7 linked regions of the Rattus norvegicus genome follow. The protein of the gene in region 2 interacts with the protein of the main gene of each other region in a biochemical or structural test. Links are inferred from orthologs where the notes say so. Each region holds a gene or a part of one and is shown on either strand. Other genes may lie near its edges.

What was found.
Region 1: the proteins of Hif1a (region 2) and Fhl2 form a complex in vitro, tested with the Homo sapiens proteins (2 studies listed by BioGRID). The link is inferred for Rattus norvegicus from reciprocal best matches to the Homo sapiens genes HIF1A and FHL2.
Region 3: the proteins of Hif1a (region 2) and Epo form a complex in vitro, tested with the Homo sapiens proteins (2 studies listed by BioGRID). The link is inferred for Rattus norvegicus from reciprocal best matches to the Homo sapiens genes HIF1A and EPO.
Region 4: the proteins of Hif1a (region 2) and Naa10 form a complex in vitro, tested with the Homo sapiens proteins (4 studies listed by BioGRID and IntAct, with this or other methods). The link is inferred for Rattus norvegicus from reciprocal best matches to the Homo sapiens genes HIF1A and NAA10.
Region 5: the proteins of Hif1a (region 2) and Egln3 form a complex in vitro, tested with the Homo sapiens proteins (5 studies listed by BioGRID, with this or other methods). The link is inferred for Rattus norvegicus from reciprocal best matches to the Homo sapiens genes HIF1A and EGLN3.
Region 6: the proteins of Hif1a (region 2) and Kpna6 form a complex in vitro, tested with the Homo sapiens proteins (2 studies listed by BioGRID). The link is inferred for Rattus norvegicus from reciprocal best matches to the Homo sapiens genes HIF1A and KPNA6.
Region 7: the proteins of Hif1a (region 2) and Egln2 form a complex in vitro, tested with the Homo sapiens proteins (3 studies listed by BioGRID, with this or other methods). The link is inferred for Rattus norvegicus from reciprocal best matches to the Homo sapiens genes HIF1A and EGLN2.

What each region holds. Positions count from the first base shown.
Region 1 is NC_086027.1:52,880,265-52,883,475, reverse strand, and holds the end of Fhl2 (four and a half LIM domains protein 2), read left to right. Parts: intron 1-1,792; coding exon 1,793-1,944; 3' UTR 1,945-2,385; downstream 2,386-3,211. UniProt on the Homo sapiens protein: May function as a molecular transmitter linking various signaling pathways to transcriptional regulation. Negatively regulates the transcriptional repressor E4F1 and may function in cell growth.
Region 2 is NC_086024.1:98,357,773-98,362,915, forward strand, and holds the start of Hif1a (hypoxia-inducible factor 1-alpha), read left to right. Parts: upstream 1-2,125; 5' UTR 2,126-2,451; coding exon 2,452-2,486; intron 2,487-5,143.
Region 3 is NC_086030.1:24,839,840-24,844,699, forward strand, and holds the start of Epo (erythropoietin precursor), read left to right. Parts: upstream 1-1,445; 5' UTR 1,446-1,467; coding exon 1,468-1,480; intron 1,481-2,043; coding exon 2,044-2,186; intron 2,187-2,659; coding exon 2,660-2,746; intron 2,747-3,016; coding exon 3,017-3,196; intron 3,197-3,953; coding exon 3,954-4,109; 3' UTR 4,110-4,860. UniProt on the Homo sapiens protein: Hormone involved in the regulation of erythrocyte proliferation and differentiation and the maintenance of a physiological level of circulating erythrocyte mass.
Region 4 is NC_086039.1:156,806,630-156,810,169, forward strand, and holds the end of Naa10 (N-alpha-acetyltransferase 10), read right to left. Parts: intron 3,475-3,540; coding exon 3,430-3,474; intron 1,939-3,429; coding exon of another isoform or gene 1,920-1,938; exon of another isoform or gene 1,905-1,919; intron 1,877-1,904; coding exon of another isoform or gene 1,864-1,876; exon of another isoform or gene 1,852-1,863; coding exon 1,767-1,851; intron 1,164-1,766; coding exon of another isoform or gene 1,073-1,163; coding exon 836-1,072; 3' UTR 749-835; downstream 1-748. UniProt on the Homo sapiens protein: Catalytic subunit of N-terminal acetyltransferase complexes which display alpha (N-terminal) acetyltransferase activity. Acetylates amino termini that are devoid of initiator methionine.
Region 5 is NC_086024.1:77,389,946-77,394,288, reverse strand, and holds part of Egln3 (prolyl hydroxylase EGLN3), read left to right. Parts: intron 1-3,018; coding exon 3,019-3,138; intron 3,139-3,931; coding exon 3,932-4,068; intron 4,069-4,343. UniProt on the Homo sapiens protein: Prolyl hydroxylase that mediates hydroxylation of proline residues in target proteins, such as PKM, TELO2, ATF4 and HIF1A. Target proteins are preferentially recognized via a LXXLAP motif.
Region 6 is NC_086023.1:147,277,905-147,281,418, reverse strand, and holds part of Kpna6 (importin subunit alpha-7), read left to right. Parts: intron 1-1,708; coding exon 1,709-1,834; intron 1,835-2,282; coding exon 2,283-2,410; intron 2,411-3,514. UniProt on the Homo sapiens protein: Functions in nuclear protein import as an adapter protein for nuclear receptor KPNB1. Binds specifically and directly to substrates containing either a simple or bipartite NLS motif.
Region 7 is NC_086019.1:91,584,007-91,588,926, reverse strand, and holds the start of Egln2 (prolyl hydroxylase EGLN2), read left to right. Parts: upstream 1-1,941; 5' UTR 1,942-1,981; intron 1,982-2,606; 5' UTR 2,607-2,836; coding exon 2,837-3,703; intron 3,704-4,920. UniProt on the Homo sapiens protein: Prolyl hydroxylase that mediates hydroxylation of proline residues in target proteins, such as ATF4, IKBKB, CEP192 and HIF1A. Target proteins are preferentially recognized via a LXXLAP motif.

The sequences.
Region 1 (3,211 bases), on a different chromosome or scaffold from region 2:
CAGGGTAACATGTTTGGTCATTCAAGATGTGACAGAGGATTTTAGAAACCTACTCTGTCTTTCTTAAAAGCTGTAGTTCAGTACTTGCTAATTCAGCCCTGTTAGGGACATTATAGGATATAACCACCTAAAAATAGTGATATACTCAGGTAAACACATATAAAAACTAAAATACAAATCTCAAAATAAAAATAAACAGCATCTTGGATTTGCAGCTCATTCATGCCCATATGCTAAGAAGGGACATCACCATTCTTTCCCAAGCCTTTAGCAGCCCTGGGAACTTTCCAGAGCTTCCCTGGTGACTCAGAGATGTGGAAATGCTACAACAGCAGGCCTGAAAGCCAGACTGGTTTCGACCAGGGCCAGTGGCAAAGTTCTGGTTCTAGGAATAGGGAAGGCAATTTATATGGAAACTAGATACTGGGTGTTGCTTCTTTTCCTCTTTTGTGGTTCTGTGAATCGAACCCATGGATTCACACATACTAGGCAAGCACTCTGCCACTGAGTTACAGCCTCAGCTCCAGGAATTTGCCTCCCTCCACATAAGCTATCTAGGAAAAGAGGGCTGATAGACTTTGCTAGTATGTCCTTCATCAGGCAGCAGACGTGACCTTTGGAAGGACACAGGCACTTCATGGAGTCACGTGCACGCACCCAGCCTTGGCGTGGCTTGCCAAATCTGAAGTCTGGCATTTTCCTGGTGGGGAAGGGCTTGTTACAGTAGAACCAACCTGGTGAGGTAGAGTCTTTGTAGGTCTGAGAACTTGAACTTGGTGGTGGTGGAGTGGTACAGGGATAGCTACTTTCTTACATCATGATTTAATCACACCAAAGTTTTGGTAGTTGAAATTCACCACCATACAGACCACCAGTCACTGATAGTGCTGTCAGCACCCTGTGTACCTTAAACATCTCACCGGGACATTTTTCTTGTTTACCAGTGTTGGAACCCAGGCTCCAGCTCAGTGTTCAACTGCTTCCATAGCTTGCCTGATCCTGACCCTGCCTCCAGCACCGTGAAAAGAGAACACTGGTTTTGTCCAGTCCTTAACACTTCCGGGGGACTCGGGCCAGTGATCCTGCATTCTTTCACTATGCTTATCCCTTCTTTGATCGCAGCTCCCGGTCACCGCTCTGTAAGCTGGTACTTCCCTAGCCCTTCCCAGAACTTTCCCAGGGCAGCTTTCCTATCCTTTTCTCTTCTGCCTCCCTACATCCACTCCCTTTGTTACGGCACTCAGCAAAGGCACAAGGAGCTTGCTCCCTTCTCTTGTGGGGAGCAGGTTTCACGTCAGGGGAAAACATAATAATGGAGGAAACAGCAGGCATTTTTCTTTTCACAGGGCGAGTGATAGAAGCCAAGCCTTGACACCTTATAGGCAAGGGCTCTATGATGAGCTACACGGCCAGGCCAAACCGGCACCTTTTCTTTTCTTTTTCTTTTTTCGGAGCTGAGGATCGAACCCAGGGCCTTGCGCTTGCTAGGCAAGCGCTCTACCACTGAGCTAAATCCCCAACCCCGGCACATTTTCATAGTGTTATCGTACTCTTGTTAGAACCAGATTCTGTTCTGATGACCCTGAGTTCTTTGAGGCCGTGAAGAGTTTGTTGATTATACGTGCACTCTGTGTTCTCAGTTGTTCGTCTGAAGTTTACCGCGCATGTGTCATACAGTGGGGCCCAAAGGTTGAGGCCGGTCACTCACTGCGCATGTGTCACACAGTGGGGCCCAAAGGTTGAAGCGGATCAAACGGTGGGGTTGGTCACCTGTGTTTTCTTTTGTGCACAGGTCTGGGTGGCACAAAGTACATCTCTTTTGAGGAACGCCAGTGGCACAACGACTGCTTTAACTGTAAGAAGTGCTCCCTGTCCTTGGTGGGGCGAGGCTTCCTCACAGAGAGAGACGACATCCTCTGTCCTGACTGTGGAAAGGACATCTGAAGGCGACACAGAAGCCACAGCGCGTGGCACTGAGATTTGGGTGTTTTCTTTCATAACCAGGCAATGCTGTGTTCTGGTTTCCACCAGCCACCCCGAGGCTCCCTCTCGCTGTCCCGGCTTCATGTTTGTTGAAACCCCTTTAGTTCTTCAGTTTCAGTGGGGACAAGATTCATCTGTAAACCCCGGATGGGAAGATGGCTTAGAATTTTATAGAAATGCAAGGCAGATTAAATGGAAAGGTCTTGAGTGTCTTTATATTGCATCCTTTCTTCACATCCTATTTAATTTTTAAGTGCAATTAACATTTGTTATGAACTTGAATGTATTTTCAAGGGAGAGCTGGGATTTGCAGCTATGTAACTTCCGTTTTTGTGTAAAACCTAGAGTGAGATTTATGTGACTCACAATAAAATTATTCGGAATAAAACATTTTGCCAAGCACAGTGTGTGAAATAATGACAAAATGTTAGGGTCTCACTTCCCATAACCGTTTTGAGGGTCAGTGACCACTGCCTGAAGTACGTTCTGATGGTCAGTATAGGCTGGACTGCGGTGGTGTTCTTCAGAACTACACTTTGTTTCAAGAAAGCCTTCTAGTAGCACCAACGTTTCTCTCACAAGCTTCCCTTCTCCTGGAACATAAATATTCTACATTTGATGTGTAAATCTGTTACATAATATGAATGGCAGCAAGACCAGGAGGCTAATGACAGGGAGGCCACATTTTTGAGTCACTTTTAGTAACTGCTTTCATATCCATCAAGACACAAACCATACAAGGCCAGAGACAGTACCTGGTTCCTTTAATACCCTCAGCCTCAGCTTAATGTGCGCGTGCGCGCGCGCGCGCGTGTGTGTGTGTGTGTGTGTGTGTGTGTGTGTGTGTGTGTAAGAATATGTATAAACATGTAAGTGTGTGAATGTATATGTGTCTGTGCAGGTAAGTGTGTCTCTGTGTGTGTGATGATGTGTGTCTATATAAGCATGTATGTGTGAATGTGTATGTATAAGCGTGTGTGTGTGAATGTGTATATGTGTATATATGTGTGTATATATGTATATGTGTGTGTGTATGCACGCACAGGAGATGTCCAGACTCTCACTCTGTAGCAATCCTTCTGCTTCAGCCTCATAGATACAGGAATTACAGGATGGTCTATTGTATCCAGCTCACCTTCAGGATCTCGCTACAGTACACAGACAAACAGACAACTCAGACTCCAAGAGCAGTCTGTAAAGGAATCTTGCCTAGTGGCTAAGCTAGGAC
Region 2 (5,143 bases):
TTTTTTTTTCTTTTTCTTTTTTTTTTCTTTTTTTCGGAGCTGGGGACCGAACCCAGGGCCTTCCACTTGCTAGGCAAGCGCTCTACCACTGAGCTAAATCCCCAACCCCTCAGTTGGCATTTTTGAGCAGTTGGAACCGGTTAATCTACAGAAGCCCGACCAGTTGCCACTAGCACGGATTTGGGGATAAGAAGAACAAGACCCCCAGCATTTAATGATGGCTTCCTATCGCCCTATGTGGTTTCAAGTGCTTTCTGGATGCTATAATCACCCCTAATTCAGGAGCATAAATACCACCTTCTCTCTCTTACAAGTGACTAAACTGAGGCACAGAGAGTGACATGATGGTGAGCACTGGTGCTTATAACCAAGCTCACTCTGAATTCTGCAGCCATTCTTCTTAACACTGTGTTTTCCGGGTGTCACAACAGAAAATATTTCCATGATTAAAAACAAATGAAGGACAAGCAATTATTTTTGGTCTTTTACTCTATCTATCTATCTATCTATCTATCTATCTATCTATCTATCTATCTATACTCCCTGTAGCTCTTTCAGAGGTATGTTCTAGATTCCAAACAAAAATACTGCTCAAGTCAATTTATATAGTCTTAGCTTCTTTTTTGAAGCCAGGACCTTGTGCATACTAGACCACTGCTCTCCGACTGACTAAGCTAAATCTCCAGCTGTGTCTTCATGGGTCTATTGAGAGGCTTTATACATTGTTTATTGTCTTATTAGACCTGGACACCATTTGTATTTATTGGGGGGCGTTGTTTTTGGATTTGAATGCAATTTAAATCTGCCACAGATGTCTACATTATTATACAACCCAACGTTAGATTGTAACGATGTACTAACAAGGCAAAGAAGAGCTATTAAACAGTCAAGTGTCAGGTCAGTTTCAGAGACCTCAGATTCAGATCTCCAACACGTGTGTGTGTGTGTGTGCGTGTGTGTGTGTACATGTGTGTGTGCACACGCAGGTGCATGCAGTGTTCCTTTGTTGGGCTTGGAATACATTAAAATTAAAAAAAAAAAAACTAACAAACATCATACCCACAGACCTAACATTCATGCTTCCAAAGACCGACCAAAAGTGATTGCTTTAATCCATAGTTCCCAGCACAGCCGGTGAGCAGTCCTGTCAAGGTCTGTAGGTTGGAGGATGCATTCTTCCTTCTTTCAGTCTAAACAGTGAACTTTAATAAACTCAGTCTGAAACAATTCTTGCACCTTTTCTGCATCTATTTAAGATTATCTTTGTCTTTTTTTTTTCAAAGCAACATAATAGCAAAATAAGTCTACTCAATGCTTTTTCCTGCCTTGTCACTCAAATTCAGGCTTGTGCTCTCACTTATTGAAGCTGTTATTTATGTGTAAATTAAGATAGTTTATTTTAAAATGGCCCTGCAACTTCACTCGCCTTGAGAGGTTTTGCAAGAGGGATTTGTTTTATATTTTTATTTGCATTTGCTCAGTAGTCAAACTTTGGCCCAGAAAATCGTTAATGACTTGGAGACTTCCCTTGTTCTGTGGCAGAGAGCAGAGACTGAGCTTCGTCCGGTCACCTGGGAAGGAGAGACCCCACTCTAACAGCAGGGGGCTGGCTGCCAGAACACAAAGTTGGCTGTTTTTGCAACTGGAAACTCAGGAGGGATGGGCGGGGACCCGGTCCAACCACGCAACTAAGGAGTAAGCGAGCCTCAGACAACTCCACAGAGAGCAGGGCAGTGTGAGCACGTTCGGACACAGGCTTAGCATCCCACTTGCTCCAGCAGCGCCTCCCAAGGCCAGACGCAGCTTTCCATTGAAGGCGCAGAGTCCCCAGACCTGGGCTCAGCCGCACCCGTCGGTCGCCCCTTTCTCTTCTCTCCCTAGCTGCACACAGACGAGCACGTGAGCTGGGCAGCTCGCCCCAGCTGGGGCTCAGCTGACCTCCTCCTGATTGGCTGAGAGCAACGTGGGCTGGGGTGGGGCCTGGCCGCCTGCGTCCTTTCCCATTGGCTCTCGGGGAACCCGCCTCCGCTCAGGTGAGGCGGGCCCGCGGGTGCGCGCGTCGGGCTTAGCGGGCGCGCGCAGCCCTTTGCTCCCCTCCCCTCGCCGCGCGCCCGAGCGCGCCTCCGCCCTTGCCCGCCCCCTGCCGCTGCCTCAGCGCCTCAGTGCACAGAGGCTCCTCGTCTGAGGGGACGCGAGGACTGTCCTCGCTACCGTCGCGAGCAGTGTCTGGCCAGGCCTTGACAAGCCAGCCGGAGGAGCAACTAGGAACCCGAACCAGAGCCCGGCGAGCGCAGCCTGCAGCTCCCGCCTCGCCGTCCCGGGGGGGTGTCCCGCCTCACACCCCGCCTCTGGACTTGCCCCTTTCTCTGCGCGTGAGGACAGAGCCGGCGCTTAGGCCGGAGCGAGCCCAGGGGCTGCCGGCCGGGAAGACACCGCGGGCACCGATTCGCCATGGAGGGCGCCGGCGGCGAGAACGAGAAGAAAAAGTAAGCCGGGCCGCCGCGTTCTGTGGGCTGGCCTTTTTTTGTCTCTGCTCCCCTTCCGTCCCCCCCCCAGCCTCACGCGCCGGGCTCCCCCGCGGTCCACGTCGCCATCTTGGCGCGGGGGGTGGGAGTCGCGGGCCCAGCGCTCGGCGGGGCTGGGGTCTCCGCCCCGGACACCCGCCCCGCGCCTTCGCAGCCCAGCCTGCCCCGCGCGCTCATCCGGCCGAGCCGGCCCCGGCCGAGTACGCCCCTAGCTCCCGCGCCTTCCCGCCCCGGACCTCCGCGTTTGCCGCGAGCACCGGGCCCCGGGCGGACCCTGTGCGCGCTGCCAGCTTCCTGGGGTCGAGGCCCTCCGAGGCCGACCCCGGGCTCCCCGGAGCCGCCTCGTTGTACCGCGGCCGCCGCTGCCTTTGTAGGTTAGGGAGTTTCTTCGGGGGGCCGGAAGATGCTAACTTTCTAGTTTGCACGTGCAGGTTTTGTTGGAAACACTTGCCACCATCAGAGTAACGGGAATTTAGGAAAATGGCATCATTTTAAATAACTTACAGTTCCTACAAACTTGTGTTTGCATCACCTGTCAGGAGAGCCCAGACGTTATGTATGAATATGAGTATGCCTCGTTCACTCCTGAAAATAACTTACCGATAGTTTCGGTTAAACTTAGGCCGATAATTTAATGAGATGGGGTGGGGGGTGTATATAATGAAAGCAAATGAAAACCAGCAGTTAGAATGTTGCAAGTTTATTGGAACACCTGCAAAGAATTGTATCCAAAAAAACATACATCCGAAGTGAGAAATCGTGTGTGAGAACTCAGTGTAAGTTTATGAAACATCCTGTGGTTTGAGTCTGAGAACATTATAGGCTTACGAGTGCAGCTAGTAGTGGTAAGATCGATCCCTGCCGCCAGCACACAGTTTTGTCTACTTCGATATTTTAACCTTGAGAAAATCAGTTTAAGAAGTTGAAGGTTTGTTGTAAGAGCTGTGGTTACAAGGCTGGCTTAATTCTTAAGTCCTTCCAGTCTTCTGGAAGAGATTAATTCCCCTTATCCATATCCGCAGAAGAGATAAATGTACTCATTTTCTTGCTCTTCTGTACATCCCTTCCTTGCCTTGGTCTTTATTCCATAGAACGTCCAGGTCTTGGATGCACCAAAGAAAGCACTTTGAAAATGTTTTAAAGTGAGCATGCAAGTCTAGACTTAACTCCAGGAGTTACCAGAATTAGTTGCAATTAATTTCGCAGAAGTGACTACAATGCTTTTGATGAAATGATGGGCTGCTATTCTCTAAACCTTAGGCAGATTGCCATTGTGTACTTACTGTCCTTATTAAATGCTGAATTATATTATATTAATACACTATACCAAGTAATACACCAATCATGTCTCTTTCATATACACTGTTTGTGTGTGTGTATGTGTGTGTGTGTGTATTTAATCAAAAGTAGTCTTACAATGGATAAGTAAGTTAATTGTGCATCGGGTCCAGTTCTAAATGGTTTTTAGGTTTTCCTCAGAACCATCTGTTAATTTAATTTTTCTTGTTTGAGATGTTAGCAGCTTTAGATCAGATGGGATTATATTTCTTAATATAGAGGTTCTTAATATCACTAAAAGATAATAAACATGAGTGATGGGTCACTCAACACTTAGGTGCTATGTATTAAGTATGTCTTTTTGTAATCATAATTTTGTTGAAAGATTGAGAGGTAAAATTTTTCTTTCTCCAATTAGTCCATCTTAAATGAGCCTCCAAAGTGAACAGGTGGGAAAGAATTTTGCTTTTTTAATAGAGAGTATAGAAAACTCAAATCTCAAAGATTTGGAAGAAAGCAGAACAGAAAGTGAATAATAGATTTAACAGTCGGTATGTGCTGTGTCTGACTCCTTAGCTGTTGGTACTGAACTTGATTGACCTAATATGTATATGGATTCTTAGATTTCAAGAGAATGTCAAGCTCATTCTGTTTCTAGCTTGTAGCTGAACTTTCAAATCCCTCCCCCCAAATAGTTATTGGGTCACTAAAATAAAATCTCTTAAAGATGTTTCTTAATTTCTCCTTTTAGCGTTGGTCACTAAAAATCAAGAAGTTTATTAATAAAATTTTTATTATAATTTAGCTTTCCTCCTTGTTTGAGGAATCAGTAGTCTACTGATTTAGATAGAGGATACAGATAGATAACCACAAGTTGGAGTCCCAAGCCTTTCCACTTGTGATTGTTGGCAAGTTACTGAATACTTGTGGATTATATACCCCCCCTCCCAAGAGGATAATACTAGCCTTCTGAAAATAAGATAATGCATTTAAAAACCTTAGGCCAGCACATGGTTTGTAACACATTATATACTTGAACATGGGTGTTAACTGTTATAGTTCAGACTTTCATAATCTTCAAACCTTTCTTCTGTGCCTTCATGCATTTTTTTTCTTATATTCAAAAAAATGAGAAGACTGGCTCTGAATTGAAAGGCTAGAAAGGTTCTTTCCTACTGAAGCCCTGTCCTTGGACCATGGCATCTGGCATCTAGGATCAGTTGTTTCACTGAACATATGATAGACTCTAGGCACCTATCACAGTTCCCCATCCCAGTGTTTCCTCCCTAACTAGGTCATTTTGAATCTACTCTGGGCTCTAGTCATAAACATATGCGGCT
Region 3 (4,860 bases), on a different chromosome or scaffold from region 2:
TCCCATCTGCCTTAACTTCCCTGGTTGGATATGAGCTTGTTCACCCTCAGCTCTTACACCTCAGATCTGCACACTCCAGTTCTGATACATTGCCTGCCATGTTCAGAACCTGTCTTGCTGTGTATGATCTTGAAGAAGATTAAAACATATCTTGTTTTATCCTGCACAAAATAGACATTGGTCCTGGAGACCAAACTCATCTGTAGAACCCCTGCCTAGAATCCCCCAGGGAGGGGCTGGGGGCGTGGCTCAGTGGTAGAGCCCCTGCCTAGAATCCCCCAGGGAGGGGCTGGGGGCGTGGCTCAGTGGTAGAGCCCCTGCCTAGAATCCTCCAGTGAGGGGCTGGGGGCGTGGCTCAGTGGTAGAGCCCCTGCCTAGAATCCCCCAGGGAGGGGCTGGGGGCGTGGCTCAGTGGTAGAGCCCCTGCCTAGAATCCCCCAGGGAGGGGCTGGGGGCGTGGCTCAGTGGTAGAGCCCCTGCCTAGAATCCCCCAGTGAGGGGCTGGGGGCGTGGCTCAGTGGTAGAGCCCCTGCCTAGAATCCCACAGCTCAATGGGAGTTTAGCTACAGTGTTTGCCTAATAGAAAGCACTGGGTTCCCGTCTCAGCACTGAAAAGACAAAAAGCAAGAACCTACTGTCAACCTGCCCACGTGTCCTCTGTAATGCACCACAGGCTCCCTGTTCTGAAAGTTACCTTCCTGGGTTTTTAGGGTTCTAGAAAATGAGGAGAGGGAGGGGAGGAGGCCCATATTCATTACTCCACTTGTCTGAGTCCGATTCCTCAACAGGGTCAACCCTGACCCTTAGAACAAGTCTAAGATTGTAAGAAGAAAAAGCATCTGAGCTGCTTCTAGACTCCAGCTCTAGCTGTTTCTGATCTAAATCCCTGCCCCAAGACAAGGACGCCCCCCAGGGGAGGTGTTCTGGTGCCCAGCTTTTCAATTATCCTCACCTCAGCCTCACGCTTCCCTTCCCGCACATCTCACAGATGCGCACTCCACTGGTCTACCCTCCTGTAACTCAGAACCACCCCCCTCCCAAGACCCCCCTGACAGCGTGTGTGCCTGGAACAGCCTGCTCTACCCCAGCAAGGACCCGACCCAGGCGTCCTGCCCCTTGCTCTGACCCCAGGTGGCCCCCACCTCTGGCGACCCCTCACGCACACACAGCTTCACCCCCACCCCCACCCGCGCACGCACACATGCTGATAACATCCCCGACCCCCGGCCGGAGCCACAGTGTCCCCGGACCAACCCCGGCCGGTGGCTGTGTCTCACTGTGTTCCCGAACAGACCCTTGGCCAGGGCCACCGCGTCCCCACTCTGCCCGCGCCCCCTGGACGGTGACCACCTTCTTCCAGGCTACTGGGGTGATCTGGCCCCACAGAACTTCTAAGGATGAAGACTCACAGCGTGGACACTGGCCCAGCCCCGGGTCGCTAAGGAGCCGCAGCAGCCAGGCGCGGAGATGGGGGTGCCCGGTGAGTACTCACAGGCTAGGGACCTGTGACCTCCAGGGCTGCTGTTTGAGCAGGGATTTACATCTAAAGCTATTGGCCAGGAAACGGCCGGCCGTATTCAAGGACCTGCGACTCTCCAAGGATCAAGGAAGAGAGGGGGGTTGGGGCAGCCTCCACGTGCACGAAGGGGTTTGGGGAGCCCCCTGTGAATGACAAAAAGGCGGGGGGATCCAGAACAGGGACAAAGTTTAGGATTTTAGGGAGATGAGGCGCTGCTCTGCGGGTGGAAAGCTGCTAAAAGAATTACCTGGGTTCAGGAGTCCCAGCTTCCCTGGATCTGCCAGCCTCTGGCGTGCACCCACAGTGAAGTTTGGCCGAGAACTGGATGCCGGTCGGTTGGGGGGTGGGGTGTGCAGCGCCGAGGGATTGAATGAAGGCCACTCAGGCAGAGCCTAAGCAATTGCAAGGTCGGGGTCAGCAGAGACTAGAAGGGCAGAGGGGTCTCGCTGAGCAAACCGGCCCCTGCAGTCCCACGGCCCCCTCCCCTCCCCTCCCTCCTCACACTCAGCCTGCCTTTCTTACAGAACGTCCCACCCTGCTGCTTTTACTATCCTTGCTACTGATTCCTCTGGGCCTCCCAGTCCTCTGCGCTCCCCCACGCCTCATTTGCGACAGTCGCGTTCTGGAGAGGTACATCTTGGAGGCCAAGGAGGCAGAAAATGTCACAGTAAGTGCTCTGGCCCCACAAAAGAAAGAAACTGGTTCTAGGGGATCTGGAAATCTGGGTTCCCTCCCGGAACTGCCTTTAGGGTCAAGATGAGATGTTTAGCCTTACACCCCTTTCTGTCCTCCCACAGGAATGAAAAAAACTGGGCAGGGGATGTGGCCCAGTTGGTAGAGCGCTTGCTTTATTGTGCAAGAAGCCTAGGTTCGATTCCCAGTGCCGCACGAACCATTTAGGTGGCACAAACCTACAATCCCAGTATTTGGGAGGTGGAGGCAGGAGGGTCAGAAATTCAAGGTGATCCTCAGCTACATATCAAGTAGTGAGGCCAACCTGGGCTACATGAAACTATCTAAAATAAAGAATGGCAAAGCTAGTAGCCCCCAAACCCTGCTGGTAAAGTTCAAAGACGGTGTCTGGTGGCTTTTGGTGGAATGAAACCCTTGGACATCTTGACCCAGGGCTGTGTCTTTTAGATGGGCTGTGCAGAAGGTCCCAGACTGAGTGAGAATATTACCGTCCCAGATACCAAAGTCAACTTCTACGCTTGGAAAAGAATGAAGGTGAGCTGCACTGTGTCTGCTCCCCGTTCTCATCTCCATCTGTCTGTCTGTCTGACTGTCCATCCACACCCCCCTCCACCCCTGGTTCCTAGAGGTTGGTGGGTCTCATTCTCAGATCTTGATAATGTGGGAGAAAGAACGTTAGAGGCAATAGTTGAGGGGATAGAGTAGCTCTTATTCATTCATTCATTCATTCATTCACTCATTCAACAAACCTTACTGCTTGAGGATGACCCTGGCTGGCTGTTTCTAAGTCTTTGCCTCCCCTAGGTGGAAGAACAGGCTGTAGAAGTTTGGCAAGGCCTGTCTCTGCTCTCAGAAGCCATCCTGCAGGCCCAGGCTCTGCAGGCCAATTCCTCCCAGCCACCAGAGAGTCTTCAGCTTCATATAGACAAAGCCATCAGTGGGCTACGTAGCCTCACTTCACTGCTTCGGGTGCTGGGAGCTCAGGTGAGTGTGAGTGTCTGTGTGAACCCTGCTACTTGCCCTTCTACAGGACGCGCCAAGAAGGTTAAAGAATATTGAGGTCTGAGCCAGGGAGGTCGCTCAGTGGGGAAAGGAACTTGCTGCTAAGCCTGATGCCCTGAGTTCGATCCCTGGGACCCACAAGCTGAAAGTCCTTTGACTTCCACCCATATAATAGTGAATTAATGTAATATCAAGTTTAAAACAAAGAATACTGACAGCTCAGGCTGGGGAGATGAATCAGAGGACGGCTCTCTGCGCAAGTGTAAGGAGACAAGTTTGATCTCCAGAATTTCTGTTAAAAAAAAGTGAGGTGAGGTTGAACGTACACGTAATCCCAGAGCTGGGGGAGACAAGCATAAGGATTCCTGGGGACTCACTGGTCCGCCAGTCTTGCTCAGTCTGTGAGCTCCAGGTTCTAGGAGAGACGCTGTCTCAGAAACTTCAGGTGGCAGGGCTGAGAAATGGCTCGGTGCTTAAGAGAGCTTGCTGCTCTTGCAGAGTTTAATACCCAGGACCCATATCAGGTGGCTCATAGCTGCCTTCACACCCCTCCCCCAGGGAATCTGGAGGGTGTATTGTGGATGCCCTGGGCACCTGCATACATTCACACCCACATTATCATAAATATTGTGGAGAGTGACCCCTGCCATAATACTGAGGTCTCTCTTTGCACACCCCTCCCATTCTGTTTTATCTGTAGTCCTCAGCAGTCCAGTGACATCCTATTTTCTCTTGACAGAAGGAATTGATGTCGCCTCCAGACGCCACCCAAGCCGCTCCACTCCGAACACTCACAGCGGATACTTTCTGCAAGCTCTTCCGGGTCTACTCCAACTTCCTCCGGGGGAAACTGAAGCTGTACACGGGGGAGGCCTGCAGGAGAGGGGACAGGTGACCTGCCACTGCCGTGTACCCGCCAACTCGCTCACCGTCACTGTGTCACGCCAACCCTCCACCACTCCCAACCCTCATCAAACGGGGTTGTTTGTTACCTTCTTACCGGCCTGTCCTACGGACACTCCAGCAGTGATATTCTGGGGGCCAGAAGAACTTCCCAGAGCTCCATTCTGAGCCTGAGGCCCCAGAGCAGGAGAGACTGAGAGAACCAGCTCGGATTTGTTTAGTTTTCGTTGAGACAGGAAGGTCTCACATAGCCCAGGCTGGCCTGGAACTCGCTATGTAGTCAAGGACGACGTCGTTGAACTCATGACCTTTCTGCTTCCATTTCTTGAGTGCTGAGATTACAAATGCCCTGGCCCTATTTACGGGGTGCTGGACGTGGAAGCTGGGGCTTCCTGATGCGATGTGAGTGAGCTTCCAGAGGCTGACTTAGAACTCAGGGGCAGAGACAGCCAAACTCATCTAGTGCCCTGCCGGAACTGTAATCCACGCCAGCCACCTCCCCCCCCCCCACACACACAGGGCAAGCTTTGGGCTCCAATCTTTGTGGCATCTACGAAGAACACAGGGCCTGGAGAATGTAGGGGGCAAGACATGGATTCTTTAGGTCTCATAGGGTTTCCCCAGACAGCACGGGCCCTGCACTGGACAACAGAGGGTCACGAAGCCATGAAGACAGAATGGCCACTGACTCTCAGCTTTCATGGGAGGGAAGGGGTTTGAGGTTTTGTGTCTTTTAAAAAATA
Region 4 (3,540 bases), on a different chromosome or scaffold from region 2:
ACCAGGCTAGTTTGGAGCTTAAAAGACAGATCCACCTGCCTCTGCCTCCCAAGTGCTGGGATTAAAGGAGTGTGCCACCACTGCCTCACAGCAAATATAAAATATTAATGGAGGAGTGGTTCACGCCTGTAATCCCAGCACGTTAGAGTCTGAGGCAGGATTGGCATAGGTTTGAGGCCAGCCTGGGCTACATAATGAGTTCCAGGCCAGCTTGGGCTAAGTAAGAGATCCTGTTTCACAAAAAAATTTTTTAAAAGGCTACAGATAGGAAAAGCCTGAGCAACTGGGTAACTGAATAGGCCAGGATCCAGCTAGGATCTCTCCAGATAAGTGCAAAGAGGAGTTGGACTTAAGCACTTGGGGTCCAGGAGGTATAAACTGGAGCTCCTACTGATGAGAGAGCAAGTATGACTAGGAGTAAAGGGCTGAGAGGGTAAAGCAATGCAGCAAAGAACATCAAGGTAGGGGAGCTGCCTCTGAAATGTGAGGCTGAATAGAAAACCCAAGAAATCATTTTGTTCAGCCCTAGAAAATTACTAAAGATGTTACAGAGATCTGTAGAAGGCCAGGAAAGTGACATGAGAATATGGCACCCAAGACAGTTTATCTGCCAACTCCAACTCAGTTGTTGAAGGAAGCCAGATTGGGGTCCCATCCTCAAACATTTGACTTGTGAGCTCAGTACGCTCTGGGCTGTGAAGATAGTATCCCTGCCATATAGGAGCTGGAAAAAAAGCATACCCCACTATGCACATTCACAAATTTCCCAAGGCCACTGGGTGACATTTATTGTAAAAAGCACATGGGGTGAGGTTGGGACCAGGTAGGGCAGGTTCTAGGAGGCAGAATCAGAGGCCTCTGAGCTGTCTTTGACATCTGTGCTTTCTGTGGTCTCACTGACCTCACTGAGGTCCTTGCTGTCCCCACCACTATCCTCAGCAGTCAGGCCCTTCTCCTCACGACAGGCCTCTCCTGAGCTCAGAAGCACGTTGCCTTTGTTCTCCGCCTTGTTCTCCATGGCCGACAGCACCATGTGCCTGCCCTTTTCCTTCAGCTCCAGGTGCCGCCTCAGCTGCCGCCGGGAGCCCAGAGGGAAGCGGGTGGAAAGAGACAGGGCCTAAGTCTCCAGACAGGAGACAAGAGGAGCCAGGCCCTGGGGCTGGCTGGGGGAAGGGACACAGTGAGAAGTGGTAGGGCCAAGGCAGGAAATAGGACTGGGTAGAAATGTAGTTCAATCCTACCTCTGTCCTAAGCCTGCTTCATCTGTAAAATGACATGAGTTCTATTGCCCTCAAATACGCTGCTGGGAAGCCCCCAAGACAGAGCAGTGCCTTTCCAGGAGGCTTGGTCAGAGAGACCCTTTCTCCCTAGCCCAGTTTAATCCTAGATCTGAGCAGGCTGCCCCCAACCATAGTAGTCCCAATTCCTCTGTTAAAAAAAAAATCTTCCTACTGTCTCTCCTATTCCACCCATCTCCAGACTTCTTCCCCAGAAAGCATCCCATGGCCTCCTTTACAGTCAATGAAGGCCATGCCCTGACTTGACAGCTTAGGGAGTAAGGGAAAGAGGGGCTCTGATTCCTAGCTTTACAACCACAAAAGCTGACACTCAGTCTCGGTCTTGCCTCTAGTCGCCACTGCCTCACTCTGTCTCACAGCTCTTTGACATCTGTACTTTCTGTGGTCTCACTGAAAATAGACACCTTTCCCAATTACAGAATCTCCTCTACTGCTGGAATTGCTGCCCTGGCCTGGCTGAACTCTTACCTCATCAGCCATCTGCGTGAGGTCCCGCTTCATTGCATATGCATCTTCCCCATCTGCATAGTATTTGGGCTCCACTTCGCTGATCCTGGGGGTAGGATCAAGACACATGCCTAGGGGCAAATTCTCCAGGTTCTTAGGCTACTGGGGTAAATGTCATCTCCCCCTGTAGGACCTTTGTAGAGGCAAAAAGCCAGTGTAAATGGGTTTCTCCTTTTTGTTTTTCATTTGACTGGATTCTTGTTCAACAGCTATGATAGTTTTCTCTGCTCTTCAAGTAAAGCCAAATAGCATGTAGCATCCAGGGCACTTCTGATTCCTAGACTTGCTACCACTTTGTCCCTAGCCCAACCATCAAGGACTTGTGTATTGAGTTGAAGTCCTTAATTCTGCCTTCCTCTCCCTGACCTGCTCCCTGTTATTTACTGAACACATAGTTCCTCTGCTAGGAAAGAGGGACACTGTACCTGCATGTAGATGGTCATCATAGACAACCTGGTTACTCACCAGATGGATGAGGGGAGGGAGGTGTGTGTGCACAATTAAGTATCCCTGACACTGGAAGAGAAACCCGTTGATGACCTAGGAAGGTTCCTTGCCAGTCTTTAGGGATACATGCTGGGTAACTTCCTCAGTTGCTTTCCATCTTATTTTTTTCAAAATAGGGTCTCTTACTGAATCTGGAACTTGTCCATTCAACTAGGCTTGTTGATTAGTGAACCCTAGGGATTCTCTTGTCTTAACCTCTTCAGCACTAGGATAATAGGTACAGGGCACTGTATGTGGCTTTTATACATGAGTGCCAGGCATCAAACACAAGTCCTCACAATTAAGCTATCTCCTCAGCACCCATCTTTTGAGACAGGGTCTTGCTATGTGGTTGAGACTAACCTGGAACTCCCTATGCTGGGACTGCAACCCACAGTCCTCCACTTTGAGTGCAGAGATTAAGAGACATGTACTACCATACCCAGCTGGGAACTGCTGACTTAGCAGGTAAAGCAGTTCCTGCCACAGAGGCATCTTAACTAGGTCAAAAGTCCCTCCATGAATATGGATGTTGAACCCAGAAAAGCTGAAGACCACCATCCTGTTCCAATGGTGTCATCTTCACTGGACCCCCTCAAAGTCTAGTGTGGCTCAGTGGTTCCTCAAGTTAGTCTATTCGAGCCTCACTTTCAAGTGGCACTAGGTACTACTAAGTCCTCTCTTCATAGAGATGGTCATGTCCAGAGTCCTGCCCTCAGCCATCAGAAACACTCAGAGCAATAGGTCCCTCATTGCTTTTGCTCATGGCCCCCTTTCCTTGCTGTCCCCTTTCATCTGCTCTTACTTGATGCTTCCTGGAGCCAGCCATTTCTCAGCCTTTGCTCATGCTCTAGTCTATCTCTCTTTACTCCTAGACTATCACAGAGAAGCCCTGTGAGTCCTTTACCACACTGCCCTTCACCAGTCTCACTAGTACCAAGCCACCCCTCCTATACCCAACATATATTGGACCCTCCTCTACCACACACAGAGAAAACAGATGCTTTCTTCAGGTCAGTCAATAGCCAATGAGTATACAGAAACCCTCCCAGCAATGTCTAGAGTCCCTCAACCCCTTTCTCAGCCCAGCAAACTGGATGGATCATGCCACTTAAAGAAAATATCTTGATGTACTTACTGAAAGTTGAGGGTGTTGGAATAGAGATGTAGGGCAGCCCGGTTACTGTAAGGGAAAAAGGCATTGCTGAGCTTCACAAACTTGGCCAGACAGGTTGACAGGTTAGGGTTA
Region 5 (4,343 bases), about 21 Mb from region 2:
CTTCATTACAGACTCGATGAGGTTTAGATAACAGATCTGATAAAACCATCAGTTTCCGGAGTCTGTTACTGCCCCGTGCACAAATTGGCATGGGCTTGATGACTCGTCCCTGAGGTTTGCCTATCAGTGCATCCATAGCTTCACAGTTTGAGATCCTGTCGAGGACCAGCAGACAGTTGGGGGAATGAATGTGTTCAAGCCAAAACCCATCTCCTGTGGCACTCAGCCAGAGACCTCAGTGGTACAATTGGTCAGCAAGGTTGCGGCGGGACCTTTGAGCTTCCCGTGGTTTCCTCTCATTGTTTAAACGTGATGCACATGGCTTCTGGAATCGGAGAGAGGGTGACTTGCACTCCGGCCAGAAAAATGATTTCTTCCTTCCCTTAACAACATGTATGCTCACAAATAGCGGGGTGTCCTAGTGGCAAGTCCACAAGGCACTGTGCCAGCACATTCTCTGTTTTATACCTGCAGCAGTTAGTGGAGGGTGCGTTTGTGGGAACTGTCTGTACTTCCCGCCTGTACTTTAATTCGCGCTGAGTTCTAAAGCCTGTGCGTGCGTCTTAATGTCCTACAGGACACTGCTTTCTTCACAACGTGCTGAGCTTAGATCAAGTCTTCTCTTTGGACATTGGAGGACTGTGTTAATTACTTGTCTCATTGCTGTAACAAAACACCCGACAAAAGCAGCTGAAGGAAGGAGGGATTTACTTTGGCTCAAGTCCCAGGGCACAGTGCTTCGTGGCAGGAAGTCATGGCGCAGCTCAAAGCAGCTGGACACGGTGATTCCACAGTCAGGAAGCAGAGGGAGAAGGATGCTGGCGGCAGCTCATTTTCTCTCTTCTTTAGTTAGGACAGGTCTCCCACCTCAATTGACCCAATCTACAAAATCTATCCCCAACACCAACAGAGATTTGTCTCCAAGGTGATCCTACATCCTGTCAAATCGGCAATCGATATAAACCATGTAGCCCGCCCCCCTCATCACAGGAAGGAGCCTGGGATCACAGTCGATTGCAGATGAGGTAGATGGCAGGCATCCAGACCGCTGACCTTTTCTGGGAGCAGAGCTGTTTCGGAATATAAAGCTGAAACACTGACTGACAGCAGGCGGTTTTTTGGTTTTTTTTTTTTTTTTTTTAAGTCTGCCCAGTAGTGGGGAGACTGGGATGGTGGGGGAATCATGGAGTCATTGTGCTAAGTGGCTTTCATTGTTGGCCCTCACACACTTACGACCCGCTGCTTCCAGGAATAGGTGATTCCCTATGTCCTAGGGAACTTGTCTCTTCCTCTGCGGCCAGGCCAGCCGCTTCTGGCTGCTCACAACCGCCTCTTTTTCGAGCCGCCATCTATTTGGTAATACCATTTGTCAAATCCTTATTACAGTCACCTCAAAACCCGACTTTTGGGGAAATGTTCTGGCTAACAGAGCAACTTCAGCTCGACACAGGACAGCACAGTGGCTTGTCCAGAGGCCAGCTGAGGGGTCGCTCGCTGCGAGGATGGTCAAGTACAGATAGCCTCTGATTTAACTTAAGTTCATTCCAAAGCCAGGCCACTACTGAGCTTCCAGCACGCAGTGTGTGTGAGGCCCAACTCTGTTTTCAGGCTCTACTGGGAACCAGCTCCCTGAACTGCCAGTGGCTTAGTTTGGGGCTGTTCCAGACTACTCCTTTTCCTCATGAAGTAACCTTGCTATTTATCAAGGAGTATTACAACCCAGACCCCTAAATATGTCTGAAAGTATGCTTTCAAATCAGAGGAAGGAAAGCTGTTAAGCTGGGTAGCATGCACTCTGGTAGCAAAGAACCGTCGACAAGTTCATTGACACACTGATATGATCTGTCAGCTTTTCAGTGGACAAACCTCTGTGTCTGGTGCTCCTTAACGCCAAGATTGCACGGGTAACTGAGGTACGAGGGAAGCTTCGGGCTCTCCTTACTAGTTCCGATGTTTTCCTTACATACTCCAAATCCCTATAATGTTTAAAAATTATAGTTGTGTCTTGTAATGAGAATAGGTTTTATATTTTGCTTCTCTACCCCACCCCCACCTCTGTTACATTTCCCCCATGAAACAACAAAGGCATATTAACCTGTAATTGTAATTCTCAGTTAGGATTTTTCTAGGTGGCTTTCTTCTTCCACCTTGAGGGTATAGGGTTAACCATCATCAGGAAGAACATAGGATTTAGGGATACATTCCTCTGTGTGTGTGTGTGTGTGTGTGTGTGTGTGTGTTACATTTATTTATATATTACATTGATTTATGTATGTCTATTTATATATTTACATAAATGAATGGCTTTTTTCCCCTTCTAAGAGATCTCCCTGTATTGTGTGTGCTGACTCGTTAAGTGTTAAGGTCTGGCTTTCCACTGACCCTTCTCTTTTCTTGCGGTCCTAAGCTTTTATTGAGTAAGTGACCTTTACTCCCTTTAGAATCAGACACGTTTTTGTAAGAAAACCTGCGTAATTCCACAACGTGGGGCACTGCTAACCAAGCACAGTCCCTAAGCCCCACACCAAAGATTCTTTCTTTCGTTTAACCTCTCTGCACACCCTGTCCCTTCCTTCCTTTTGGAGAGGGTCTCCCTCTGTGGGCCAGGCTGGCCTCATGTTTGTGCCCCAGCTTCTGAGTACTAACGTTTACATGTCCGTGCCCACTATACTATGCCTGCCTCTCATATCTCTGGATTCTGATCTCATGGGGCTTGGATGGGAACCCGGAACCTGCTTTTCCACAAAGGAATATTAAAGAAAGGCAAGCATCTTGTTGATGATGTGGGTGGGTTTCTTTAGGAAGTTCTCAGTGTTCTAGAACGTGGGAATATTACCAGATCACTTACCCTGCACCAAGTCCTAAGGCCGGGCCCGCCTGTTAAGCTTTCATACCAAAGATTACCTTGTGTTCGTTTTATGTTCTGATCGTAATCCAAATGTATGCACTGTGTACCTCTGCTGTGGGAGGAGACTACCTACACTTTTTTTAAACAGCATCTCTGGAATGTCTCCACAGGCGATGGTGGCTTGCTATCCAGGAAATGGAACAGGTTATGTTCGTCATGTGGACAACCCCAATGGTGATGGCCGCTGTATCACCTGTATCTACTACCTGAATAAGAATTGGGACGCCAAGGTACTGTGGAATAGTGTGTGCCTGCATGCCTGTGTCTGTGCGTGAGTGTCTGTGTGAGTGTGTGTGTGTGTGCGCGCGTGCGCATATGTGTGTAGCTTGGGGAGTTATATGTTATAGAAGGTGCAGATAGAGGTGTTCTGAGTTCAGATCAAAAGAGCATGCCATTTCTAACTAGGTAAAACCTTCCGGTGGCTTTAAGGGAGTTATAGCTTCTAATAGCCGGTCTCCACTGTTTATGTCTTACCTCCCCCAAACCCCTACTTATGGAATTAGTGCCAAATATTAAGAAGATAGCTAGTTGTTCTAGTAGGACAAGTAGATTGTTCATGTGAAAAAAGAAAAGGCAACTGAGGAGACGGATAGATGTTCAACAAGATGCAGATAGCATGGCGTGAAAGGTCACGGAAGGGTCCAGTCAATGGGGTCAGAGGGCATTTGAAGAGTTCAGAGGTCAGCCATAAATAGTTATTACAGGAGCAGCTGTATGGGGGGCGTAGATTGAAGCAGTCTGACTTGGACAGTTTTGTGTGGTGCTCCGACTGTCCTATTTTGCGTCTGTGGCCTTCATGACCGTGGGAATGGGAAGATGCTGAACTGAAGTTGAATATAACTGTCTATAGCTAAGTCTGATACAAGTTCAATTCCAAAGTATGAGGGGGAATAAATAGTTATGGGCCAAAACCCACTTAAAGTTGAAGTATGGGTGGTATTTCTCCAGGATAGAGGTAACACATCATTGCTGATAAACCTCCTGTGAGACCAGGAAATAACTAATTATCTTCTTGGTTTTCAGTTACATGGAGGGGTCCTGCGGATATTTCCAGAAGGAAAATCATTTGTAGCAGACGTGGAGCCCATTTTTGATAGACTCCTGTTCTTCTGGTCAGACCGCAGGAATCCACATGAAGTTCAGCCCTCCTATGCCACCAGGTAAGAGGTGGGGGTCACAGTTCCTCTTCTAGGGTGCATACGAACCCTAGATTCCTGAAAACTAATGTCCTATATAAGGAAGTGCTGGGTACACCCCAAAACTGAGAGAACCTGTTTGGAGTGATGGAAATTGAAGGAGCCTCCTTGGGATTCATTAGCATACAAATCTGACTTCAATTTAAAGTAACTATTAACTTCCTGTTCTGTGAGTTGTGCATACCGCAGTCTCAGTCCCTTAGAATGTTTTCCCCTGTCCTTCTGTCCCTTCCTTCTCG
Region 6 (3,514 bases), on a different chromosome or scaffold from region 2:
AATGGCTGACTTACTGGAATAGTGTAAGGAAATGAAGGCTGGGCCGTGGTCCTTTTGAGACACTGGAAGCTGTGGGATCACCAATACTCAGCTTCAGTGTCTGTGCTCATCACCTCATGTTGAACTCATGCTAACCTTTGGGCTGTAATCCTAGCAATTATGAGTGAGAGGCAGAAGGCTCAGCTAGTCCAGGGCCATCTTCAGTTGCATGAAACCCTATCTCAAAAAAACAAAAATACGAAAAATAATTCCTTCAAACCAGTAGCAGGGTGGGGGTGCAACTGCTGGGGAGGCTGACGTAGGAAGGAAGCAGCAGCCCAGGACTTTGAGACCCGCCTGTGCGGTACAAGGTCCTGTCTCAGAAGAGTAAGCAGTGTGGCCCTGCACACACATGGACATGGAGATGTAAGATAAAGCTGGAATGACCCACAGCCAAGGGCACTGCATGGCTCCCTGTTCCAAAGTTAGAACCCGCTGACTTCCTGCCTGCCGTCCTCAGCAGGTGTCCCCATGAGTTAGTGTGTGCTCTCCCTCCTCTGGCCGGTTATGTGTGGCTTTATTCCACTGATTGCTATAGACACTTCCTTGTAAGTGAAGTCACAACATATTAGTCCTTCACATCTTTGTGTGTTGAATTTGAATTCTTTAGTAAGGCTGAATGGTGTTCTAGTGTCTGTGCATTCTGTTTTAAAGCCTTCATCGTCTTGTAAGCGTGTATGTTGTTTCTGCTCCCTAGCTGTTGTGAATGATGCTGCTGTGCGCCCTGGTGTGCAGTCTCTGCTTCCCTTTTTTTTGGTCACATGTATGCAAAAGAGATTGGATAACATGGTGATTTATGCTAATCTGTAAGGTTAGCAGCCGTGTCGTCTTCTGTCTCTACCAGCGCTGTTCTTCCATGCTCCAGCTTCTCCCTCTCCAAGACATCGCACTTCTGTTATGTCTGTGTCAGCCATCCCAATGACTGTAACGTGCTGTCTCCTGGTTTGACTTCTGTTTCTCTATCAATAAGTGATCATGAGCCTATTACATTGCTAATAGATCATCCATGTATCTCTTTTTGGAGAAATGTCTTTTCAAGCCCTTTGTTCATTTTAGTTTGATTGCTTAGGGTAGAGTTCTTCATGGGGCTGGAGAGATGGCTCAGTTGTTATGGATGGATCAGCTCTGACTGCTCTTCTGAAGGTCCTGAGTTCAATTCCCAGCAACCACATGGTGGCTCACAACCACCTGTAACGGGATCTGATGCCCTCTTCTGATGTGTCTGAAGACAGCTTCAGTGTACTCATAAAGTCTTTTTAAAGAATAACTTTTTTTTTTCTTTTTCTTTTTTTCGGAGCTGGGGACCGAACCCAGGGCCTTGCGCTTGCTAGGCAAGCGCTCTACCACTGAGCTAAATCCCCAACCCCAAAGAATAACTTTTAAAAAAATAACTTCATGGGGTTGGGGATTTAGCTCAGTGGTAGAGCGCTTGCCTAGGAAGCGCAAGGCCCTGGGTTCGATCCCCAGCTCCGAAAAAAAGAACCAAAAAAAAAAAAAATAAATAAATAACTTCATATACTCTGGATCAATCAATACTTATTTTACAAGTATTTTCTAATATTCCGCAGGTTGGCTTTGCACTGTCGATGGTGTCTTAATGCATATCTATTCTTAATTGGATTGACTAAATATTGAATTTTGATACATTTCGTATGCTGTTGTGTTTTAGGTCATTCTTAACTGTTCAGCCCTCCCTTGCCTCCTCCACCTGCTGAGCAGCTCTAAGGAATCAATCCGGAAGGAAGCTTGCTGGACCATTTCAAACATCACTGCTGGCAACAGGGCTCAAATACAGGTAGACTTGCTTCCAGAAGAAGCATTTGTTTCCCTTTGTAACGGGAGCCAAGGAAAATCTGCAAGCCGTGTAGCTCCCTAGTAGGAGTTGGCCTAATTGAGTCACCTGGATTCAGTGCCCAAGACCACCAAAACAATTGGGGCAGCATAACCAGTCGGTTACAGTGGCAGCTAGGTGCCCCACACCGTGTCCCTTCTCTAGTAAGAAGAAAGTGTTTGCAGGTGGGTTAATGGAAAAAAGCCTGAGGTTTGATTCTGGTTTGCTCTTCATCTCTTCCTCTGAGACAATGTCTTATGTAGCCCAGGCTAGCCTCAAATGACCTTGACTTCATGGTCTTTCTGCCTCCACCTTCCAAGTATTGGTAATTACAGAAGCATATGTCACCATGCCTGATCCTTCTGCTTTTTAAACTGTCTGCTTCTGTCCTCCTTCCTCACCTCTGTTTCAGGCTGTCATAGATGCAAATATCTTCCCTGTATTGATCGAAATCCTTCAGAAAGCAGAGTTCCGTACGAGGAAAGAAGCAGCCTGGGCCATCACCAATGCAACCTCAGGAGGAACCCCTGAGCAAATCAGGTCTGACTCCTTTCCTTAGAGCCTAAATCATCTGAGCTCTCCTGTTCGTGGTATTCACATGACTCAAGTGTCTTCTGGTGGGAGCCTGCCCCAGTCTAACTGTCTAAGGTTAACTAGTGAGCTGCTAGTGATCCTGGACTCTGGACTAGATTGCCAGGTTGTTTTCTGTGGTTGTTTTACTTGAGACAGAGTCTTGAGACAAGCTAACCTAGCCTACCTCAATCTCCCAAGTGCTGGGATTATGTGCACACACATCTATACCCAGCTAAGTCTTGGGGTGTTTGTTTGTTTAGTTTTGTTGAGATTAGGGCTCTCTGTGTATGCTGAGCTCTCCTTGAGATTGTGGCCCTCTTGCCTCTCGGGCTGGGGTTGCAAGGACATGCCTCAGCCTCGGTTTGCACCTTTGCTCCTTTACTGTAGTGTTTGTCATCTGAACATGAGAACCATGAGCGCTAGATTTGTCTTTCCCCTAATTACAACCTACTAACCTGTCCACATTAACGTCTCAGGAGAAAGGAAGAGCCATTGAGTTAAAACATTAAAAGGAAACTATAAGGTGCACATGATGCTGTACAACCTAAGTCTGAGGCAGAGATAGACGTCAGATCTTTGAATTCGAAGTCAGCCGGTCTATGTAGTGTATCCCAGGTGAGCCAGGGCTACATAAAGAAGTCATGTTTAGGGGTTGGGGATTTAGCTCAGTGGTAGAGCACTTGCCTAGCAAGCGCAAGGCCCTGGGTTCAGTCCCCAGCTCCGAAAAAAAGAAAAAAAAAAAAGTCATGTTTAAAAGGGTGCTGGGGGTAGAAAGGAGGATTATAGCATTATATAGAAGGACTTTAGATCATATATATATATCAATCAGAAATCTGGAGATCTTCTCAAATTTGACCACAATTGAATACCCTCAGAATGGAATATTCTGACTAGAGCTAAAAAGAGGTAGGGGCCAGATTGCAGACAATCTGTACTAACATACCACAGAAGCTGTACTCAGGGGAATAAGGAACCTGAGCAACCTTGGTGATAACATTGTAGCCAAGGTGACAATAGGGCTCTGTTCATTAGGTAATAGATCAGTGACAGAGAGGGCTGAGGATAAAAAGG
Region 7 (4,920 bases), on a different chromosome or scaffold from region 2:
CATCCTAGTTCACAAACTCCTGAGGACAGAGTTTGTCTTTGGTTTTTTTCTACATGCCCTCCCCCCTTTTTTGACACAGAGGCTTGTTATAGCCTAGACTAAACTGGAATTTGAGGTGTCCCTGCCTCAGTCCCCCGTGCGCTAGGATTGCAGGTGTGCCCATGTCCATACGTACTTCATGGTTCGTCAGAGCTGGTGTGTGCAGCAATGACGTGTCTGTGTGTGACATGCATGAATCCTTCCAGGACTTGTACATGGGGCAGTGTCAGTGGAACGTGTGATGCTGTGCCATGTGAGTAGTCTCTGGCCTGGTGACTGTTGGTGAGGCTGCTGCCGTGTGCAACATCAAGACCAGGGAACTGGGGACTCTTAAGGCTGCCTCCATGATGTGTCTGGTTTGACTCAGTGTATGCCTCATGTCTGCAAACTAGGACGGTGGCTCACTGTGTGTTCCTAGAACACGTGCTCCTGATACTTGTTTCCTTGTGTGTGTCTGTGTGCCTGTGAACATGAACATTCTTCTCCATGTGCCACTGGAGTTCTTGTGCAACCCAGACTCCTGGTCACACTTGATGATGATGTCTTATCTCCTTGTACCCCGATGTCTTTATATGGCCTTCTGGAGACAGGTGCAGCCCCCCCAGGACAGCTTCAGCTGCTCTCACAAAAGGTCAGCGAGTATCCGACCCCATTGATTGCCCATTTGGTAGGCCCGGAGTTGGTGGAAAGGGTGGGGCATTCAAATAACCCTATCCACACAGCCCTCCCAGAAATGGTGTTATAAATGTCAGGAGTAGCTTAGTGAGAGAGCACTTGCATCGCACGTGGGAAGCTCTGAATTCAGACCCCAGCACTACATAAACAAAAAAATCCACCCGGGCTAGAGAGGAGCTGGGTTTTGCAAATGTCTTCTCTGTGAGTCTGTCCCAGGTTGCTTTAATCTGACTCCCACAGTTGCCCTGAGGGAGAAGCAAGGAGCGGGTCATGCAAATAGTACACATTTGTTCGTTTGTTCTACCCGGTTTCGCTTCTCTAAGGACATCCCGTACTCACCGTTATTTTTTTTAAGTGCTTATGTAAATTACTGACGTAGGAATTTACATACACTTTCCAACTAACTGCGCAGTCATTTCTCAATATCCTCTTGGGGTGTGTGCAGGAACGGCCCATGTAAATGATATATTTGCATAGCAAATGCCAAGAACCCAGCTGCTAGCCATTCTCTGACACTTTTGGCTCTGAGGGGTGGGCCTTTCTGTGTGAAACTGCTCATTCGTACCCCCTCCAAGGGGCCGTCTTAAGAACTCACAGAACGCCTTTTCCTGAACCTGCGTGTTTGCTTTCGCGTGGAAGGGGCGGGGCACGTAATGCAAATGAGCCTCGCGTCCGGGACCAGCTCACTTTTTTCTCCCGTAGGGTGTTCTAAGCCTCCTGTCACTGTGCGGTTCGCGCACGCGCAGTCTCCTCGGCCTGGCCGCGGTCACGTGCCCACCGGGCGAGGCGGGGGCGGGGCGTCGCGGGCGGTGGGGGGCGGGGTATGGCGCGCTGTGAAGCGCAGGGCGGCTGGCACAAACGGCGGCGCCGAGGCCGGAGGAAAAAGCTCGGTGAGGGGGTCGCGCGAAGTGAAAGACCTGGGGAGGAGAAGGAACCAGAGGTCCGGTTGCCGGACGCGGACGACTGGGCCGGAGGCAGGAGGCGGGAGCGCGCGCGGGCGGCCGCGACCCCGCGCTAGGGGGGTTGGGGGTGGGGAGGGAAGCGCGCTCCCGGCGCGGCGGGGCGGGCCATCGAGGGCGGCGGGAGCGCGCAGTAACCACCGAGGGGAGGGGCCGGGCGGACGCGGCCCCGCCTCAGTCGTCCGCGGCGTCCGGCGGCCCTTGGGTCACGGCGGAGGGGTTTGGGGAGGGAGGCAGTCCGGTCGGACCCTCCTCTCGGGCTCCCTTCCGTCAGTCCGTCCGTCTGGCAGGACCTCCCTTCCGGCTGGGTGTGTGTCGGGCCCCAGTAGGCTTCCTCCCGTAGGGCACAGGTCAACCCCACCGGCCCTCTCGCTCCCCTGCCGTCTTGTTTTTCTCCCTGTTCTCTTTGTCCCTGGACTCCCGGTTTTCCCCGCCTGTCCTGGCTCGTGGCCTTCCACCCAGGCGATCTGGTTCCCGTGAATGTCGCGCGGTGGCATTGCCCGCTGGTTCCCCACAACCCCGACTTTACCCTAGATTCCACATTCCCGTTTTCTGTGTCATCCTCCCTCCTTATCTCTGAGTCTCTATAGAAACCTCTGGCAGGTACCTCGTATTTCCCACTTCTCACCATTGCTTTTCTTCCTCAGATCTCTCTATCTCTCCCTGTTGCCTTCCTCTTTGGGCCGTCCACGCAGTGTTCTCTGCACTTTTCCTCTATTACTCTTTCTGCCAGACATTCCCTTTCAACCCTCTCAAATTCCCAAGATATATACCCCTATGCCCCCTCGTCTCAGCGAGCGTGTGTGTGTGTGTGTGTGTGTGTGTGTGTGTGTGTTTGCTGTGGCCCTGTCATCTGCTTACCGCTGGTACCATTCCCAGCCCTTCCCACCTGCTTGTCTCTGACTCTTAAGTTCTTCCTTTTCTCTCTTCCAGCCACCCCCATCAATCCTTTCTCAAGCTCCTAGGGACAACTGTGGACTTGGGGATCAGCGAGCACCCCCAGAGCACTAAAGGAGCCCCTGCTGCCTGCCCTGCCTCACCCTGCCCCACACGAGGCCCAGCGGCCCCGGGCTGCATCAAGTGGAGGAGGAGGAGGCGGAGGAGGGTGGCACCATGGGCCCGGGCCGTGCCCTCCATGCCCGGGGGATGAAGACACTGCTGCCATGGACAGCCCGTGCCAGCCGCAGGCCCTGAATCAAGCTCTCCCTCAGTTGCCAGGGTCTGTGTCAGAGTCCTTGGAGCCTAGCCGAGCCAGGATGGGGGTGGAGAGTTACCTGCCCTGTCCTCTGCTCCCCTCCTACCACCGTTCAGGAGCATCTGGGGAGGCCTCGGCTGGCAACGGGACCCCCAGAACCACAGCCACTGCTACTACTACCACTGCCAGTCCCCTGCGGGAGGGCTTTGGTGGGCAGGATGGTGGTGAGCTGTGGCCACTGCAGAGTGAAGGTGCTGCTGCGTTGGTTACCAAGGAGTGCCAGCGACTGGCGGCCCAGGGTGCCCGACCTGAGGCCCCCAAACGGAAGTGGGCCAAGGATGGTGGGGATGCCCCTTCACCCAGCAAGCGACCGTGGGCCAGGCAAGAGAACCAGGAGGCCAAGGGGGAAAGTGGTGTGGGCTGTGACAGCGGTGGCGGCAGCAGCAACAGCACTACCCATAGCAGTGGCGAGGCAAGTTCTAGGCTGAGGGAGGAAGCCCAGCCCTCTGCACCTGAGCGCCTGGCCTTGGACTATATTGTGCCTTGCATGCGGTACTATGGTATCTGCGTCAAGGACAACTTCTTGGGGGCAGTACTGGGTGGCCGTGTGCTGGCTGAGGTGGAAGCCCTGAAGTGGGGCGGGCGTCTACGTGATGGGCAACTAGTGAGCCAGCGGGCGATCCCACCGCGCAGCATTCGTGGGGACCAGATTGCCTGGGTAGAAGGCCACGAGCCAGGCTGCCGGAGCATTGGTGCCCTCATGGCTCATGTGGACGCAGTAATCCGCCACTGTGCAGGGCGGCTGGGCAACTACGTCATCAATGGGCGCACCAAGGTAAGGCACTTTTCCGGTGAGTGCCTGATGCTTTGGCATGCGGGTCTGGAGGCAAGCCTCTGGGGTTGTGTAGTAGGGTGTAGGCAGCTCCACCAGAGAGGCTACAGTTACCTCCCTCTAGACTTTGATTTTTGTACCTGAAATAGGAGTTCAGCCTGGGATGGCAGTGGTCCTTGACCTTGGCAGACCAAGAGCCCCTGACTGTCGTAACCCTCCTTAGACCAAGGGTAGGTCAGCTGTCATGCAGAAGCAGAAGTCTGGCGTTGTCGCGGTAGCCTAGGCTGAGGATGGGTGCTGCCTGTGTAGTTGAGCACCTAGCCTGGCCTCCATCCTGCCCTGGAGCCTACTCTTGGCATCTGCACCAAGAACCGCTTCCCAATGGGGTGACACTGGGTGACAGTGTGCTGGCCCAGGTAGAACACTTGTCAGCATCTTTCCCACTCCTCCCTGCCCCAGTCCCTGTTCTTTGTCCTCTGTCCGTTTGTCACTTCCTGCCTGCATTTCTCTGATCTCTTTCCTTGACCCTCTGCCTTTATATTTTTCTCCTCCATTCCTCCTTGTTGCAGAACAGTAGTTCCTAATGTTTTTGAAGTCAAGGCTTTTCAGGTAAATCTGCTGAAACCCATAGACCTCAGGAAAGGCATGCATTTGGTCGGAGTTTGTGGGCAGTTGTCAGGGTCTCATAGGCCTCCAGCAGTTCATTCAAGAACCAGGGGTCAGGAGCCCTGACTGGACAGTGACCCCCCATGCCTTTCTGGTCTGTGACCGTATCCATTTTCTTCATGGAAGAGTATGTGAGCCTGCGGCTCGGTGTCATTTCAATACAGTCCGTTGAGAGTACCTGCTGCTGGCCAACAGTGGTTCCTGGCTGGTGATCTTAGTAGGCTGTGTTCTGCCCTGTAAGCGGGAGGCTGTGTTCCCAGTGGTGCCTCCCTTCTCTGTGGGGTCCTATCTTAGGTTCTGCCTCAATACAGCTTTCTTTTCAGGCTGGAACTGGCTTGGGGACCATGGTTCCCCCACCTCCCACCCCCGGCCCAGGCCTATTTCCTCCCCACCCCAGCTGGAACTAGTCCTACTTACATCTCCCTCCTGTTATGTGAGAGCTGAAGAGCCAGAGCTGGCCCCTCCCTGGGTTGGCTTCTGTGCAGGCAAGATCGGTGTTGCTTCCCCGGCTCAGCAGCTCTGCAGGAGGGAAGTCAGGAGGGACACAGGAGAGC